Struthio camelus: one gene and its partner. The protein of the gene in region 1 interacts with the protein of each later gene in a pairwise test. Links are inferred from orthologs where the notes say so. Each region holds a gene or a part of one and is shown in the gene's direction. Other genes may lie near its edges.

The links.
Region 2: the proteins of RHOJ (region 1) and PAK2 interact in binary tests that used the Homo sapiens proteins (3 or more experiments, as listed by UniProt). The two-hybrid records come from large-scale screens. The link is inferred for Struthio camelus from reciprocal best matches to the Homo sapiens genes RHOJ and PAK2.

Annotation. Positions count from the first base shown.
Region 1 is NC_090946.1:76,023,700-76,031,404, reverse strand, and holds the start of RHOJ (rho-related GTP-binding protein RhoJ), read left to right. Parts: upstream 1-4,702; 5' UTR 4,703-5,259; coding exon 5,260-5,437; intron 5,438-7,705.
Region 2 is NC_090950.1:2,563,125-2,570,331, forward strand, and holds the start of PAK2 (serine/threonine-protein kinase PAK 2), read left to right. Parts: upstream 1-4,197; 5' UTR 4,198-4,257; intron 4,258-6,461; exon of another isoform or gene 6,462-6,608; intron 6,609-7,207. UniProt on the Homo sapiens protein: Serine/threonine protein kinase that plays a role in a variety of different signaling pathways including cytoskeleton regulation, cell motility, cell cycle progression, apoptosis or proliferation.

The DNA of each region.
Region 1 (7,705 bases):
TCAAACTAAAATAAATGTAATTTAGAGAAAAAAAAAATCCTGTGTGGAAAACACAACAGGTAGGGAGGAAGAAATTGCCTAAAGTGGTATTTTTCCTGCTCTGCTAATCCCAAGGTGAACACATGCCTCGTTCACTTTGCTCCATTGTCTTGCAGCATAGGGCAAGGGTTAAACAGCTTTTGTCATATATCCACTGTACAGAGAGGGAGAGGGAGTAGAAGATGAATGGAAATGGAGATGAGACAGCCATGCAAGAGGGAAATCAGGAGAGAAAGCACTGGTGACAGCCAGCTCTTTTCTGGAAGGAAACCAGAGAATTCTGCTGCAAATTGGAGGGGCGCATCAGACCTCCAGATGCATGGGTGCCACCATCGTTTCACATCTCCAAGGAAAACTCACCCCCTAAGTCCAAATGCAAACGGCTATAAACAAATCTGCTGGACATACAGATACCGGACAAGAACCACGCGCTGCACTGATGGGTAAGTAACACAGTACTGCCCACAGTCACCACGATGCAGCATAAATTAACAAGCCGAACACCACCCTTCCCAGCTAAAAAGAATCGTCCGTCACTCGCACACACACAAACACACCACGTACAATTTTCATTATACAGCAGCTTTGGAAGCAAGTTCACAGATGAGGGTACTCCGATGGGCAGGACTTGAATCACTCTTTGCTTGACCTCATCTCCCAAAAGTCATTTGTTTTACAAACTCGTCTTTCAGAAGGGAAACCCAATGACACTAATTATATCCATGGCAGCAGCCTGAAACAGGAAACCCCCTGCTGCTCACATGGACCACCATGGTGGCGGTGGTAGTGGTGGCAGCATGACTGATGGCGTGTGATGGCTGTAGAGAGGCCTGCTCTCACTCAACACGCCTCAAAGCCAACCCTCAGCACCTGCCCTTCAGCAAACTGCCTCTGCTTCACACAGAGTACTTCCATCCCGCCTGTGGTTAACGTTAAACTGTTATTTTACCTCCCTCATTTACTGCTTCTGCTTTTCAACATATCAAATTCACTTGAGGTCTCAATGGTCATTTCATCTGGGTGGGAGGTTGACAGATGGAGCTGCCAGCAAGAAAGGGGAGCAGATGAAGGAAGGAATAGGGACAGGGTCCTCATTTCAGTTATTCTCAGCACAATGTGGAGGGACATACAGGCAACTCAAGCAGAAAGAGGAGCCAACACAAGGCTGCCTCAAATAAGACTAGGGTCCACAATGGCACCCTGAGAATATGGTCAATGTGAGGATGGCTTAAAATCAGTTTTGTCTCCCTCTCTCAGTTCCTATATGGAGCACCAGTATGGAACCACCAAGCAGCAAGTGTTAGGAGACACTAAGTACACTGGTCTAGAATTTGTTTAACTGCACAGGGTCTGGCTCTTACTATATCATCGTGCAGAAAAGGTCCTGAATCTGATGGCCAGGGAAACCTGGTTTGGAACCTCACAGTGATAATTAAGCTTTGCAGTCCCATTTTGTTAATCTGCCTCTCAAAGACTCTGACTGACATGAAAAAAGATTTTTCTCTGATGCAGGATGCAAATCTGAATGCATGGAAAATTTTCTTCACATTACAAGTAGGCAAGGGATCATTGTGAAAATATCTCATTTCTGAGGAAATTGAGACTGTGGAGAACTAAGAACCCTTGTTTCTGATGAATGCTCTTAGATAAATTTTTCCTCTTTGCCTAAATATGGAGGAAGTAATAAAGGAAGGCACAATGTAAGAGTTTCTTCAAAGTTTGGAGGCATGGAAGCAAAATGACATTAATTTATCAAATTCCTATGAAAACAAATCCACTCATTGTAACAGAGTCCGTGGCAGCCCCCTGCAAATATATTGTATATCTGAGAATCTAGTTAGACTATACAAAAACAGCTCTGATTTCCACAGTAGAAGTGTTTTGTTAATAAACAGTTTGGAGATCTTCATGACCACTATCCTAAAACTGTGGTTCCTTCATCTTATGATGTCATCTAGAAGATTTAGAAGATGGGGTTCTGTTAAGCTCACTTCAATACCCATAGGGTCACTGCACTAAAAAGTTCTGACAGTCTAAATAGATTAGACAAAGGGTAGGAAAAAATGTGAGATGATTTGCCTAAAGTCAATTTACAGTTCATTAGCGGTGCCAGAAACTTAATTCCCACATCTGTGCTCTCTTTTCTAGGCTGCAGTGACTCTCTCCAGAGCATAGGACCTGCTGCAGTCACCTATGCAGTACCATTTTTCCTCCTTCTGTAGATCTGGTCCCACTATCATTTCCAGAGAACATCTAGAAAGAGAGGCTCAAAGAATCCAATGCACTCTGCTGTTGATATTAAATCACGATATCAATTCAGGCAGCCAAACCTAGTTTCAGCGCTGATGCAGGAGGCAACACCTTTACAAACATCCTGAGAGGCTTCGGAGCATGCAGTTTGGATGAGGCAGTTGGTCTGGCCCAGATAAGCCTGCAGGACCTGGAGGTACCACATAATAGGGATGCTGCCAGCGGCTAGAAACAGGCTGGCTGGAGGTCCCAAGGAGGGAGGAAACTGAGGGCTGCGCTATGGAGAGAACCAGAAGGCTGGCAAGGGAAAGCAGCCTGCAAGCGTCAGACCAGCAGCAATCCCCAAAGCTAGCCGTGCTCGTAGATGAAGTGGGACTGAGCTCCATAGCAGGCCCAGAAACCTCCCAGCACCTCCCGTACCAGTGCTGGTAGGTGGAAGGAAAGAGGATGGACAAGGAATCTTGTCCAAGAGCAGCAAGGGGTGGGGAGAAAAACTTCACAGTAATGCAGCCACCTTTAAATTCTCCCACTCTATGGGACTACCTCTTATGGACAGGAAGGCAGAGACCAATCTGCTTGGTTTAAGCAAAGAAGGGAAGAGGAAAGGAAGAGCTTCGGAGGACACGACCCAAGGCAAGGTCAGGACTCTATCAGATCCAGGCAGTCAGGTTTGATAAGGTTATAAGCAGTTATGGCGAAAATTCCTCTGACTTACAAGTTTTAAGCTCATAATGTTGTACCAAGGAAGACCACTGCATTGCAGGAGGCACTGGAGAGAAAATGCAGCTGTAACTGGGTTGGCTAGTGGAAGGGAGCAGGCAAAGAGTGATACAACATCATATCCTCTTTTTCACCTTGATTTGCTTTGCCTGCAAGAGAAATATAGAATGGATTTAATTGGCTAACGTATTGCTCATTGCAGAGCTAATTAACAAATTAGCTCTCAAATTTGCAAGTCCCTCATCTCATAGAGAGCCTCTTGCTGGAATCTTTTGCACTGGCCTTGAGCCCTGCCGGTTCACAAGAAAGCAGCTCCAGGGATTTCTCTGTCAGAGGTGTGCTGATGAAGATGAAGCTGATCCTTCCAAACAAAAGTGTGGGGCTTGGATATACTCTGCAGCCCCCGAGTACAGCCCGGCTGAGTGTGGAGCACTGAGCCGTGGGGAGTTTGCGCAGGAGTGTCCCACAACCCTCTGCTGTTGTAGGCCTAAACCAGGTTCACTAACATTAAGGTCTGCCTCAATGGGAGGGATGTCTGATGTTGAAAAAGCTTGCAGATAACTTATGCCAATGTAAAATGGGAAGTGAGATAGTTGTTGCATTTGGGAATTGAGCCATGAATTATGCGAATTTTTGCTTCCTTGGGCTTTGCAGTTACCTTGTGACAAAATGTGCTTAATCGTGTATTTGGCGAACTTACCTAACAAGGTCAATAGGCTGGTAAGCAAAGGCATGGAAGGGGATCAGCACCCAGCTCTTTAATAACTACAAGAGAGGCACAAGATCAGATTTTTAGATTTGTCCCAACTACGGTAAGAAAGAAGCTAAACGAACAAAACTTTGTAATTCTTGATTCCCCAAGGGTGATCCAGCCAAAATGCTGATGGAGGAATTAATCAATATAGTAACTGCTTGGAGAATCGGGTTTTGGGTGCCCAGAGCTCACAGGTTTTGCTAGATGAACTAGGTTGTTGGGCTGAAGTTTTGAAGCTAAAAGTATGTCACCTGTACTCCTAACTGGGAGAAATCCCACAGTGATGCTGTGTCACAGCAGATGCTGGGCATAGCACTCTTTTTTCTAATTCTGGTAATATTTAATTCCTTTTTTTGCCTCTCTAGCCCCATCTGTGTTTACACACTTACACTGAGGGGGGAAGGGGAATCTCTCTTTTTCTTTTTTGGAGTGGATGAGGGGGAAGTGAAAGGGATACTTTCTGAATGCGTGACTTGAAGAATCAATGATTTAGTATTTTTAAATATATTTTTAAGTGCTATAGATACAGAGAAAGTTTGCATTAAATGATACCTACCCATTATACCTTCAGCCTGCTTTTCTGCCTCCCTCATTCCCCTCCCAAACGTATGAAAACACCTCTCCCCAGACACTCTGAGAAGAACACACCTGGGAAGGGCAGATAACCCTGCAAGGACCACACAGTTCACAGCCTCGCCGTACCCTGCTTCGCCATTTAGGTCCAATACCCACATCTTTGGCAGCATTCGCCAGGCAAAAATCCTCCTCCCGGGTCTCCCTGCCGGAGAGCAGCTCGAGCGCGGGATGGAGCAGGAAGCCTAAAACTTCAGTCTGCAGAGGGACCTCTAGTGTTTTTCTTTCTCCACGTCCTGGCAGAGTTCCCCCGAAGTACAAATACACACAGAGCTCCCATTGTTTGCAGCCCTTCACAAGCCCACTGATCCTAATATGGAATTCAGCAGGAAACCCATGATTTCCTGACACACAGCAAGCTGGAGAAAGAAAGGAAAAACTCCATTAAAAACCTCCAGGCTTTCCTCCATGTTAGAAATGAAATGGAAAATGGAGCGGATTTAGCAGGAATCTCTGATTCCTGCAGCCAAGCCGGAGGAAGGGAGAAGCGAATCAAAGCCGCAGGCTGCTGATATTTTTCAAGTTGCAATAAAGACCGAACTCTGGGGCAGGATGAGGATTTCCTGACTCGGACTCACAAGAACGGACAAATCGCCTTTTTTTTTTTTTTAATGCTACTCCTCTCTCTATATATTTAATTTATTCACCTCGATGATTCTCTTGACTGCTCTGGTAATTGTTAGAAGCGGCTGTGACAGCCTGGAAACATTAGTATGATTTCCTGAGTTTGAGATTCTCCCCCCCCCACCCCCCACCGCCCCTCCAAACTCAGGAAAAGTCAATACAATCGCACTTCATTTTTCCTTCATGTGCACTTGGAAGTCCTGGGAGCAGCAGCAGCAGCAGCAGCAGCAGCAGCAAGAATGAACTGCAAGGAAGAAGATGACAACTGCACTGACGGCAGCAGCAACAACACCAAGAAGATGTTAAAATGCGTGGTGGTTGGGGACGGTGCAGTCGGGAAAACCTGTCTGCTGATGAGTTATGCCAACGACGCTTTCCCCGAGGAGTATGTGCCCACTGTATTTGACCACTATGCAGGTAAGAAAGAGCTTTCAAAGAAATGTAATTAAGAGCTGCAGAAGGGCCAGGTGGGTGGTAAAGGAAGATCAAGGACCGAAGAGGACAGTTCAAAGGGGACACATGGGTTACTTCTAGCCCAGGAATGTGATTCAGGCCTGGACTGTGGCCAGACAGCTTAGATGGCAGCTCATACAATTGGGGCAATGCAGGATTTATTCAGAGAACTTATTTGTTTGCTTCCAATTTGTATTTTGTTTGTGGCAAATAAGCAGCGTTAGAGACACAATTAAATCCGCTGGCTTTTAGAGACAACAAATATCATACAGCCGCCGTCAGGTTATGCTCAGCTGCCTGGTCTGTTTCTAAATCATGAAGTTTTGAACTGTGTGGGCTGCAGTTATTATAAAGATGATACATGCACATAAAAATTTACATTTTTTGGTCATCTTCTGCATCATGGCAAATGATGCATGAATTACAATACTTATATCCTACTTAAGGAATAATCTTGGAGAAAACCAGCATAGTCTCTTTCAGTGCTACCAGGATAATAACTCTCTCTCCTTTCAGATGTGTTTGCTGCTACATTTATAAATAGAATTTAATATTATAACTTGACTGTGAGGAAAGCAGAACTGCTGATTGATTTGAGTACTTTATAGTGAGGAAATTTGTCATAGAACAAAAAAATATGAAAGTTACAAAGAACATAAATGATGTCCACTGTCCAAAACAGACCCACATATTAAATTCAATATTTGCAAGCCTCTTTCTGTAGCAACTACTTACTTTACCCAGCAGCGTCTAAAGTTATCATGTGGATGGTGTGATATGCTAAAACTGTTGCTCAAACTGCTACTTAAATTTTTTTATTCTAGATTCTGTTGTTTTTCTTATCTCACTGTTCCTTAAGTTTACAGTTGTTGTTACCAAAAAGTAGGTTTTAGAAGCCCTGCAAAACTCATTGCTTATCTCGCAGCAGCAGTTGGAGTTTCCCTCATTCTCTCCCTCTCCTTAAAAACTGGATTTTCATGGCGTGGCTTATCATAGATTTGGTATTCTGTAATGGGAAAATCTCTGTTTTCACTCTGGCTTCGTGTCAGGTTTAGCAGATGAACTGGCCAAACAAGAAAGCTGTGTAATTGCAGCATCTGACCCATGGAAATATGAGGACCTTTTGCTCCGCAAGTGTGGGCAGCGTCACTGCGAGATGCAAGCAGCGCTCCCTTTCCTCTGCCCTTCCCACCACATAGATTAAACGATCGTTTTCGAAAAAGTTTTTTTAGATAAGAAATGAAAAAGAAAAAAAAAAGGTGATGTAAATAAGTACTTCCACAAGCCAAAAAAGCTAAGGAAGCCTGGCTCCAGGGATGTATTAAATGCCAATAACCCCCACTTTGCTGGGATAACCTGAGTTCTGCTTGCTCCTTGCAGCCTCGTGCCCCGGTTGCTCCCAGTCCCCCACTCTCGTGCTCTCCCTTGCCCCACAAACATCATCGCGTACGGAGACACCCATACAATAGCCAATACCAGGCCACATATATGTTGAGCGGGTGGGATAGGTGCAGGCGTAAGGGAAGCGTACACACGTGCGCGCTATTGCCAGTGCTCAGGGTGGGACATCTAGGTGCGTTTCCCTCCTCTGCGCAGCCACAGGTGACTCGCAGCGCCTGGCTTTGACTTCTTTTCCTCTCTGTCTGAGGTGGTAGAAAACGCCAGCTGGTTCAAAAACTACTGAGGGAGAAGGGGGGGGGGCTGAGAGAACGACAGGCAGATGAAGAGTATCACTGCATAATCCTCATTTCCCTAGTGTACCAGGTGAAAGTAGTACGCATGCACTTTTAAATGAAGCTACTTTTTCATGCTCTGGAGATGTAGACCTCTCAAATATCTCCAGCTGTTATTTGCTTCTTTACCTATTACAGCCCACTGATAGAAATTAAGAGTGCTTTTAATGAGAGAGGTTAGAAAGGTAAGGAAAACAATAGCATATCAACATGCTATTCTGAGACAAATCCTGCCCAGCTCCAGTGGTTAAAGCTAGCATTGATCAGAAACGGAATTTCCATTCTTTGAGCAATCCCATCGTTTCTAAATCAATCTCACTACAAAGCAGCGCCCAGAACTGAGATGTGGAAACGACTTCTGGAGCAGAGTGCCAGAAGAAACAGTTTATATAATAAAAAAATACTATATGGCATAGAATATAACACAGCCTATTAAAATACTTTAATGTAGTGTGGATATTGAGAGAGGGAAGAACTCACTTGAAGTATGCTTACCTCC
Region 2 (7,207 bases), on another chromosome or scaffold:
GTAACGTGCATTGAGATCCACTGATCGGCTTCTAGACTGAGCCTTAGTAATATTTATTCTTGTTGATGTAAAATTTGAGAGAAATCACAGAATTTCTCAGTGAATGTTTTTTGCTGTGGCAAATAGCAATGATTTGCTGGTTTTAAATTCATAGCAGTTGTGTTATAAAAATACAGTAGACAGGTTCTTCTCTAAAAGCTGTAATGTCAGTCATTAGCCAGGGGTCACTGGCAGATGCAGAGGAGCCATAATCCAACCAATTCTCTGTTAAGAAATTCTGGCAGTTTTGGAGACAGAAAGGAGGGGACTGCACGCTAGTTTGAGTTGTTAGCAAGACAACATAGATACAAGAGTCAGACACAAGCGTATACGTTATTGATGAGTGTAAGGATTGAATTAAATAAAGGAATTAAAGCAATAAAAGAAGGGGGAGGGGTACAGGGGGAAAAAGGCACGTTAAGAGTTAAGGGTTCTATCAGAGACTCTGAATCACAAGTGAATGTGCATAATTTAAAAAAAAATACTCTTTTAGTTTGTTCTAAAAAGACATGCCTGGGGAGAGAATGGAATGGGAGGTGGATAAGAGTTGTGAAAAGGCTTTGGGGCAGGACCTGAATGGGTTTGGGGGTACAAAGCTGAATCGGAAAGAAGTAAGGTCATTTTGTAGGAAATGAAAGTAAAGCTGGAGGAGGTGTGAAGAAAGTTTAGAAACCTGCCACAGTTTCTTGAGAAGTACATAACTGTGGAGATTAATTACCAGAACTTTTAGTGCTGAAAGGGATTAATAGGGAGTTGAGTCTAAGCAGGGAGAATGACAAAGCAGCATGCGAAGAGAAGTGGGGACGATGGCCTTGTCTGCAGTAGGAAGGAGACCAGAACAGTTGCCACTGGCCACAGCAGGGTCACTGCAGAGTACTACTCCTGGAATAATGCAGTGGAAATATTGGAGGTCTATGGGGGCATGTGTTCTGCAATCACTCACTCTGCATTAATTCTGTGGAGCTTAACAGAGATGATGACCAGCAAATGTGGGCTGAAAGCAGCAGAAGCTGGAAAGGCTGTTTTGCACTGTTTGTCCCTGGACGTGTGGGCAGGTACCAGGCCGTAATGGTAGCCGCCTACTTTTCCCAGACTTCTTACGAAAAGGATCTGCCTGACATGCTTTCTTTTCTTTCTGAAGGAAAAATCAGATGTTGCTTCAAGCCTGGGTTGAAGGAGGAGGTCAGGTCAGAGCTGCAGGGCAGGTGGATGTTTGGGTAAGTCATCTGGAAGATTAAATATGTCATAGGAATTTTGGGGGAGTAGGAGTTTCGAGGGCAAGTATGCTGCTTTCTCAGCTGTGCTTGCTACTACAGCTCTTGGTACCTGGGCGTTAGAGTAACTACAGAAGAGGTGGTGCAGGTCACTAATGACAGGACATGGTAATGCTGGCAGTGACTCTGGGTTCTGCTGCTGTAGTTCACATATAGTCCTTTTGGCAATACCGTCAAGACACCGAGCTGCAAGGATTCGTGGAATTGGAAGCACGTGGATTATTCTAAGTTAGAGGGAGAACGGTTAATTTGTCATTGGCTATGCTAATACAAAAACAAGCTCCTTCCAGCACATTAAGGCAAGAGGAAGGCCGAGCATAGCATAGCTGAGGACGGCAAAGCACAGCCCTCTGGTGCTCTTGGACGCCCCTGCCAGAGGCAGCAGCTGCTCCACAAGCACGGCGGGAAGCCCCCATGCTGCAGTAAACAAGTTTTAACCAACAAATCACAGAATGGCTAAGGTTGGAAGGGACCTCTGGAGATCTTCTAGTCCAACCTCCCTGCTAAGCACGGTCCTCCAGAGCATATTTCCCAGGATCACAGACGAGTTTTGAATAACTCCAGGGAAGGAGACTCCACTACCTCTCTGGGCAACCTGTTCCAATGCTCTGTCACCCTCACAGGAAACACGTTTTTTCTCAGGTTCACATGGAACTTCCTGTGGTTCAGTTTCTGCCCATTGCCTCTTGTCCTGTTGCTGGGCACCACAGAGAAGAGACTGGCCTCATCCTCTCGACACTCCCCCTTCACATACTTGTACACGTTGATCAGATCCCCTCTCAGTCTTCTCTTCTCCAGGCTACACAGGCCCAGCTCTCGCAGCCTTTCTTCCGAGGAGAGATGCTCCAGTCCCCTCATCCTCTTTGGAGCCCTCCGCTGGACTCTCTGCAGTAGGGCCATGTCTCTCTTGGGCTGGGGAGCCCAGAACTGGACACAGGACTCCAGGTGAGGCCTCGCCAGGGCTGAGGAGAGGGGCAGGATCACCTCCCTCCACCTGCTGCCAACACTCTGCCTAAGGCACCCCAGCAGACCATTGGCCTTGGCCACAAGGGCACATTGCTGCCTCATGCTTCACTTGTTGTCCACCAGCACTCCCAGGTCCTTCTCTGCAGAGCTGCTTTCCAACAGGTCCACCCCCAGCCTGTCCTGCTGCCTGGGGTTATTCCTGCCTAGGTGCAGGAGCCTGCCCTTGCCTGTGTTGACCTTCAGGAGGTTCCTCTCCGCCCAACTCTCCAGCCTGTCCAGGTCCCTCGGAATGGCAGCACAGTCTTCTGGTGTGTCAGCCACTCCCCCCCAGTTTAGGATCATCAGCAAACTTGCTGAGGGTGCACTCTGTCCCTTCCTCCAGGTCAGTGATGAATATGTTGAACAAGACTGGAGCCAGGACTGACCCCTGGGGGACACCGCTCGCTACAGGCCTCCAACTAGACTCTGCGCCACTGACCACAACCCTCTGAGCTCGGCCATCCAGCCAGTTCTCAAGCCACCTCACTGTCCACTCATCCAACCCGAACTTCCTGATTTTACCTAGGAGGATGTGATGGGAGACAGTGTCCAAAGCCTTGCTGAAGTCCACGCAGACAACATCCACTGCTCTGCCCTCATCTCCCCAGCCGGTCATCCCATCACAGAAGGCTATCCGACTGGTCAAGCATGATTTCCCTTTGGTGAATCTGTGCCGACTACTCCTGATCACCTTCTTGTCCTCCATACGCTTAGTGAGGACCTCCAGGAGGAGCTGTTCCATCACCTTGCCCGGGATGGAGGGGAGGCTGACAGGCCTGGAGTTTCCTGGCTCCTCCTTCTGGCCCTTTTTGAAGACTGCGGTGACACTGGCTTTCTTCCAGTCCTCAGGCAGCTCTCCTGATTGCCATGACCTTTCCAAGAGGATGGAGAGTGGCCTAGCGATAACATCCGCCGGCTCCCTCAGCACTCGTGGATGTATCCCATCGGGGCCCATGGATTTGTGGGTGTCAAGTTTGGACAAAAGATCTCTAACCTGATCCTCCTCCACCAAGGGAGAGTCTGCCTTTCTGCAGCCTTCCTCTCTTGTCCCCAGAGTCTGGAATTCCTCAGCACTGGCCTTAGCAGTGAAGACTGAGGCAAAGGCGGCATTCAATAACTCTGCCTTCTCTATATCCTTTGTTATCAGGGCACCCGCCCCATTCACCAGTGGGCCCACATTTTCCCTAGGCTTCCTTTTGCTATTGATGTACTTGAAGAAGCCCTTCTTGTTGTCCTTGTCCTCCCTTGCCAGATTTAATTCCAACTGGGCCTTAGCCTTCCTCGTCGCATCCCTGCACACTCTGACAACGTCCCTGTATTCCTCCCAAGTGGCCTGTCCCCTTTGCCACATTCGGTACGCTTCCTTCTTCTGTTGGAGTTTGGCCAGGAGTTCCTTGCTCAGCCACGCAGGTCTCCTGCCCGCTTTGCTGGACTTCTTCCTCAGAGGGATGCACCGGTCTTGAGCTTGGAGGAGGTGATGCTTGAGCATCAAATGAAGTATTGGGGAAATAATGCCAAATTTCAAAGAAAAAGCCAGAAGATAGAAGAGAGGTGTGAGTTTAAAAGACGTCCTTGTCCTTTATTTTGTCTTGAGGGTGTTTGCTTTTGTCAGCTGTGGGGATGTGCAGAGACTGCCTCTGATCGCCTCACTCCTGGCGGTGACGCTACTGAAGCAGCGTTAATTTGCTCTATAGGGAACCGCGTCCAGGGCCTGTAGAGCCGCCGCTGCCGGAGGTAGCGCCGCTGCCTCCGGCGCCATCTTGGGCCGCTTGCCCCAGACTACGCGTCCCGTGAGGCCCCGCGCGCCGAAGCGCCGCCGCGCGGCCTGCCGGGAGTTGGAGTCGGCGTGCGGCGGCGCCCCGCCCCTGCCCGCCCTCGCGGGCTGTGGCCGCGCGTGGCGGTTCCGCTTCCCCCTCCGGCTCCTGCCGCCGCCGCCTCGGTGGGTCCCGCCGCCGCCATTGCAGGAGGCGCCGTGTGGCGGCCGCGCCCCGTCCGCCCCGCCGCCCCCTCTCGCCCCCGCCGGGCCGTCTGCAGAGGCGGCAGGCGCTGCCGCCATCCCGGTGAGTGCCGCGGCGGCGGCCCGCTCCCACCTGCCGCCGCGTCGCCGCGCCTTCCGCCCTTTGTGGCCTCCTGCGCGGCCGCGGGCCTCTGGCGGGCCCGGGCGCGCCGTCTCGGCCGGGCCGCCGCCCGCCCTGCCCGCCGGCCGCCGTGGGGGGTGCGCGGGTCGCGGCGGGGCCAGCTCGGCCGGGCCGTGGCACCGGGCTGCGCCGCGGGAAGCCGCGGTGGCGCCGCGGGCGCCGGCCTGCGCCGAGCGCGCTGCCCCGGGGGGCTGGCCGCGCCCGCGGCGGCGATGCGCTGGCGGGAGGCGCAGCGGGGGCGCTGCCCGGGGGAAACGGGGCGGCGAGCTGGCGAGGAGAGAGGCCGCCTGGTCGTTTGGTGATCCGGAGGAGCTGTGGTGCGCTCGCCGCCGTTGCCGCGCGGCGGTGGCTGGCCGGAAAGCGGTGCCTGATGTTGCTGTAATGCTGATTTGCCCTCTGTGGGCCAGTACTGCGGGAACTCAGCAGGCGCTTTCTGAAGCCCAAGGGTCACCTCCATCCTCTGTCCCCTGCCGCCCCCCTCCCGACACGTCCCTTTCTGCCTCAGGGCTGGGCGCGGTGGTGGCACCCCCAGAGCAAAGAGCAGTCTGTCCCGAGGAAAACAGTACACCCTTCACAACAGCCTTCGTTGTTGTCAGATCGCTTAAAGTGGGGGGAAAATTAGCGTCAATGTATCTGTGAAAAACTCTTAAAGAAAAATCTGTACAAGTACGGAAATGTAGTGCAGAGAGCTTTTGGTCACATGCTTTCCTACAGTGAGTGAAGGAATCCGAGTACTGCAGCAGGTTATGAATCTTTCTTTGGAGCTGCTGTGATACCCTTTTTATACTAGACCGTAATGTAACTGCTACTCTTTGTGTGCTCTTCTGTTTGTTTTTTCTCTTTGCTGTGTTTTCTGTTTAGTTTTTGTTAGTGCGTTTTGCCTTCCGTTCTGTCCGTGCTGCCTGCCCGACAACAGTAGATGTCTAATGGTAGGCTGATCAGGGAATTGGGAAAAAAAATTTGGTTTAGCCTGAGCTCAGGGACTGGTGTGTACAAGCAACTGCCGGAAGGTTTGTCTGGGAGCAGACAGTTAATCAGCTAGCTTTCAAAGAGCAATACTGCACTTTGCCTGTAGCCAAAATAAATCCATTTACATGCTGTCTTATGGTAAGTGAAAGCAGGCCAGATATTGCAGCATTTTTATTAATAATCCTCATTATTTTGGAGGTATTGCAATAACTGGGATAGTAAGCACAATGACTGGGATAGTAAGCACAATTTGAGCATGGAATTTTGTGTCTTTTTTGTTTTTTATCTTCTTGCTCCTGCCTTTCTCCATTTTTCTCTTTCTTTATGTCTCTCTCTCTCTCTCTCTCCTCTCTCTCTCTCTCTCTTTTTTTTTTTTTTTAAAGATAGGCTTGCTCTTGGGCTTTTCAGTATGGTGCAGCCTTCACAATGTGAGCCCTGAAGTGGTATGTGGCTAAAAATCAGGGGACTGAGTACTTTGTGGTTCGGTTTCTCCGTTTAGGAGATGGAATTAATTTAATGCACAAAGATACTGTAGAGGCAGACTTACAAATATCCGTACATAACCAAGTGTGCTGTACCAGTTTTATGCCACCATAGGACTAAGAAATTAGTCATTTTATTATTGCAGACTAATAGACTGAAATAGGAGCAGTGTAGAAATGTAAAAATGTAAAGCCTTTGCATGATGAGATTTTGAGGAGAATCTTCAAGATCACAGGAGCACTTCAAAACAACTCGCCAAGTAATGCTTTAGATGAAGGAAAGGCCTATGACGGTGGGGGTATATTTCCATTCTTGGGGTAGAACAAAAATATTTTTGAAAGCATAGTGCAGATTCTCTGTATTGTCTAAGTTGCATGTGGGATTTGACTCTGCTTTATGTAGACATAGTTATTCAAAAAAAATGTTGGGCTAGGAAATGGTCAATAATACAAACGTTTTCAGCTGCTGTCTAGATATTTTGCATGTTTTAGCTGAGGGCAAAGTGTTTCAGTGGATCAGAGGTGCATGTGCTCTGAGTTGTTTTATAGGACGTTGTCAGGATCTCATTCACTGGGATGAAATTTATGCCAGCTTAACCTGAAAGTTTGGCCAATTGGGGGAGTTTTTCTGAGGCACCTGTTACTGTTTCCTGTCTGGAATAGCTGCTGGAGTAGATGGATGGATGCTTTGACCATGTATGGTAGGTCTAATCTGCTTACTTTAAAATGTGTCTTAAAAAAATCATGCACACTTGCATTGTTTAAATTAGCGTTTCAGTTATGTTTGAAAGGAAAAATTATCAAGCAACTTCATTTTCTAAATAACTTTAGGATAAATGTTAAAGGCTTTGATGCTGTTAATTTCGTTCTTTTGATATCAAATGTGAAAAGCAGCAGGAATCTGAATATAGGTCTCTGTTTTACTAGTAACAGCTACCTCCATTTCAGAATTCTCTTATCTGTCTTTTTTTTCCCCCTCCACCTTTCACATGTCTGTGCGGTAGCCACAGTTGGGAAAATAGTTAATTTGTTTTGGAAACAAGTCCTAGTTATAGAGACAGTGTTCTAAATGACTGGGGCCAGTGATAACTTGAGCAAAGCTCTGGTGACAGAGAGTTGAGCTCTAGCAGAAAGCTTTGAGAGTGAGTTGTCTTAAGAAAACATTGAGGAGGAAAAGAAGGGGCTAGGGGAGGCATAGTGGTGGGAAGAACAAGAAGACGGAGAGGTCTTGAGCAGCTGGGCATGATGCAGTCAAGCCAAGCTGCCTACTTAGCTCAGCTGTCTGAAAATGCAGCTTCCT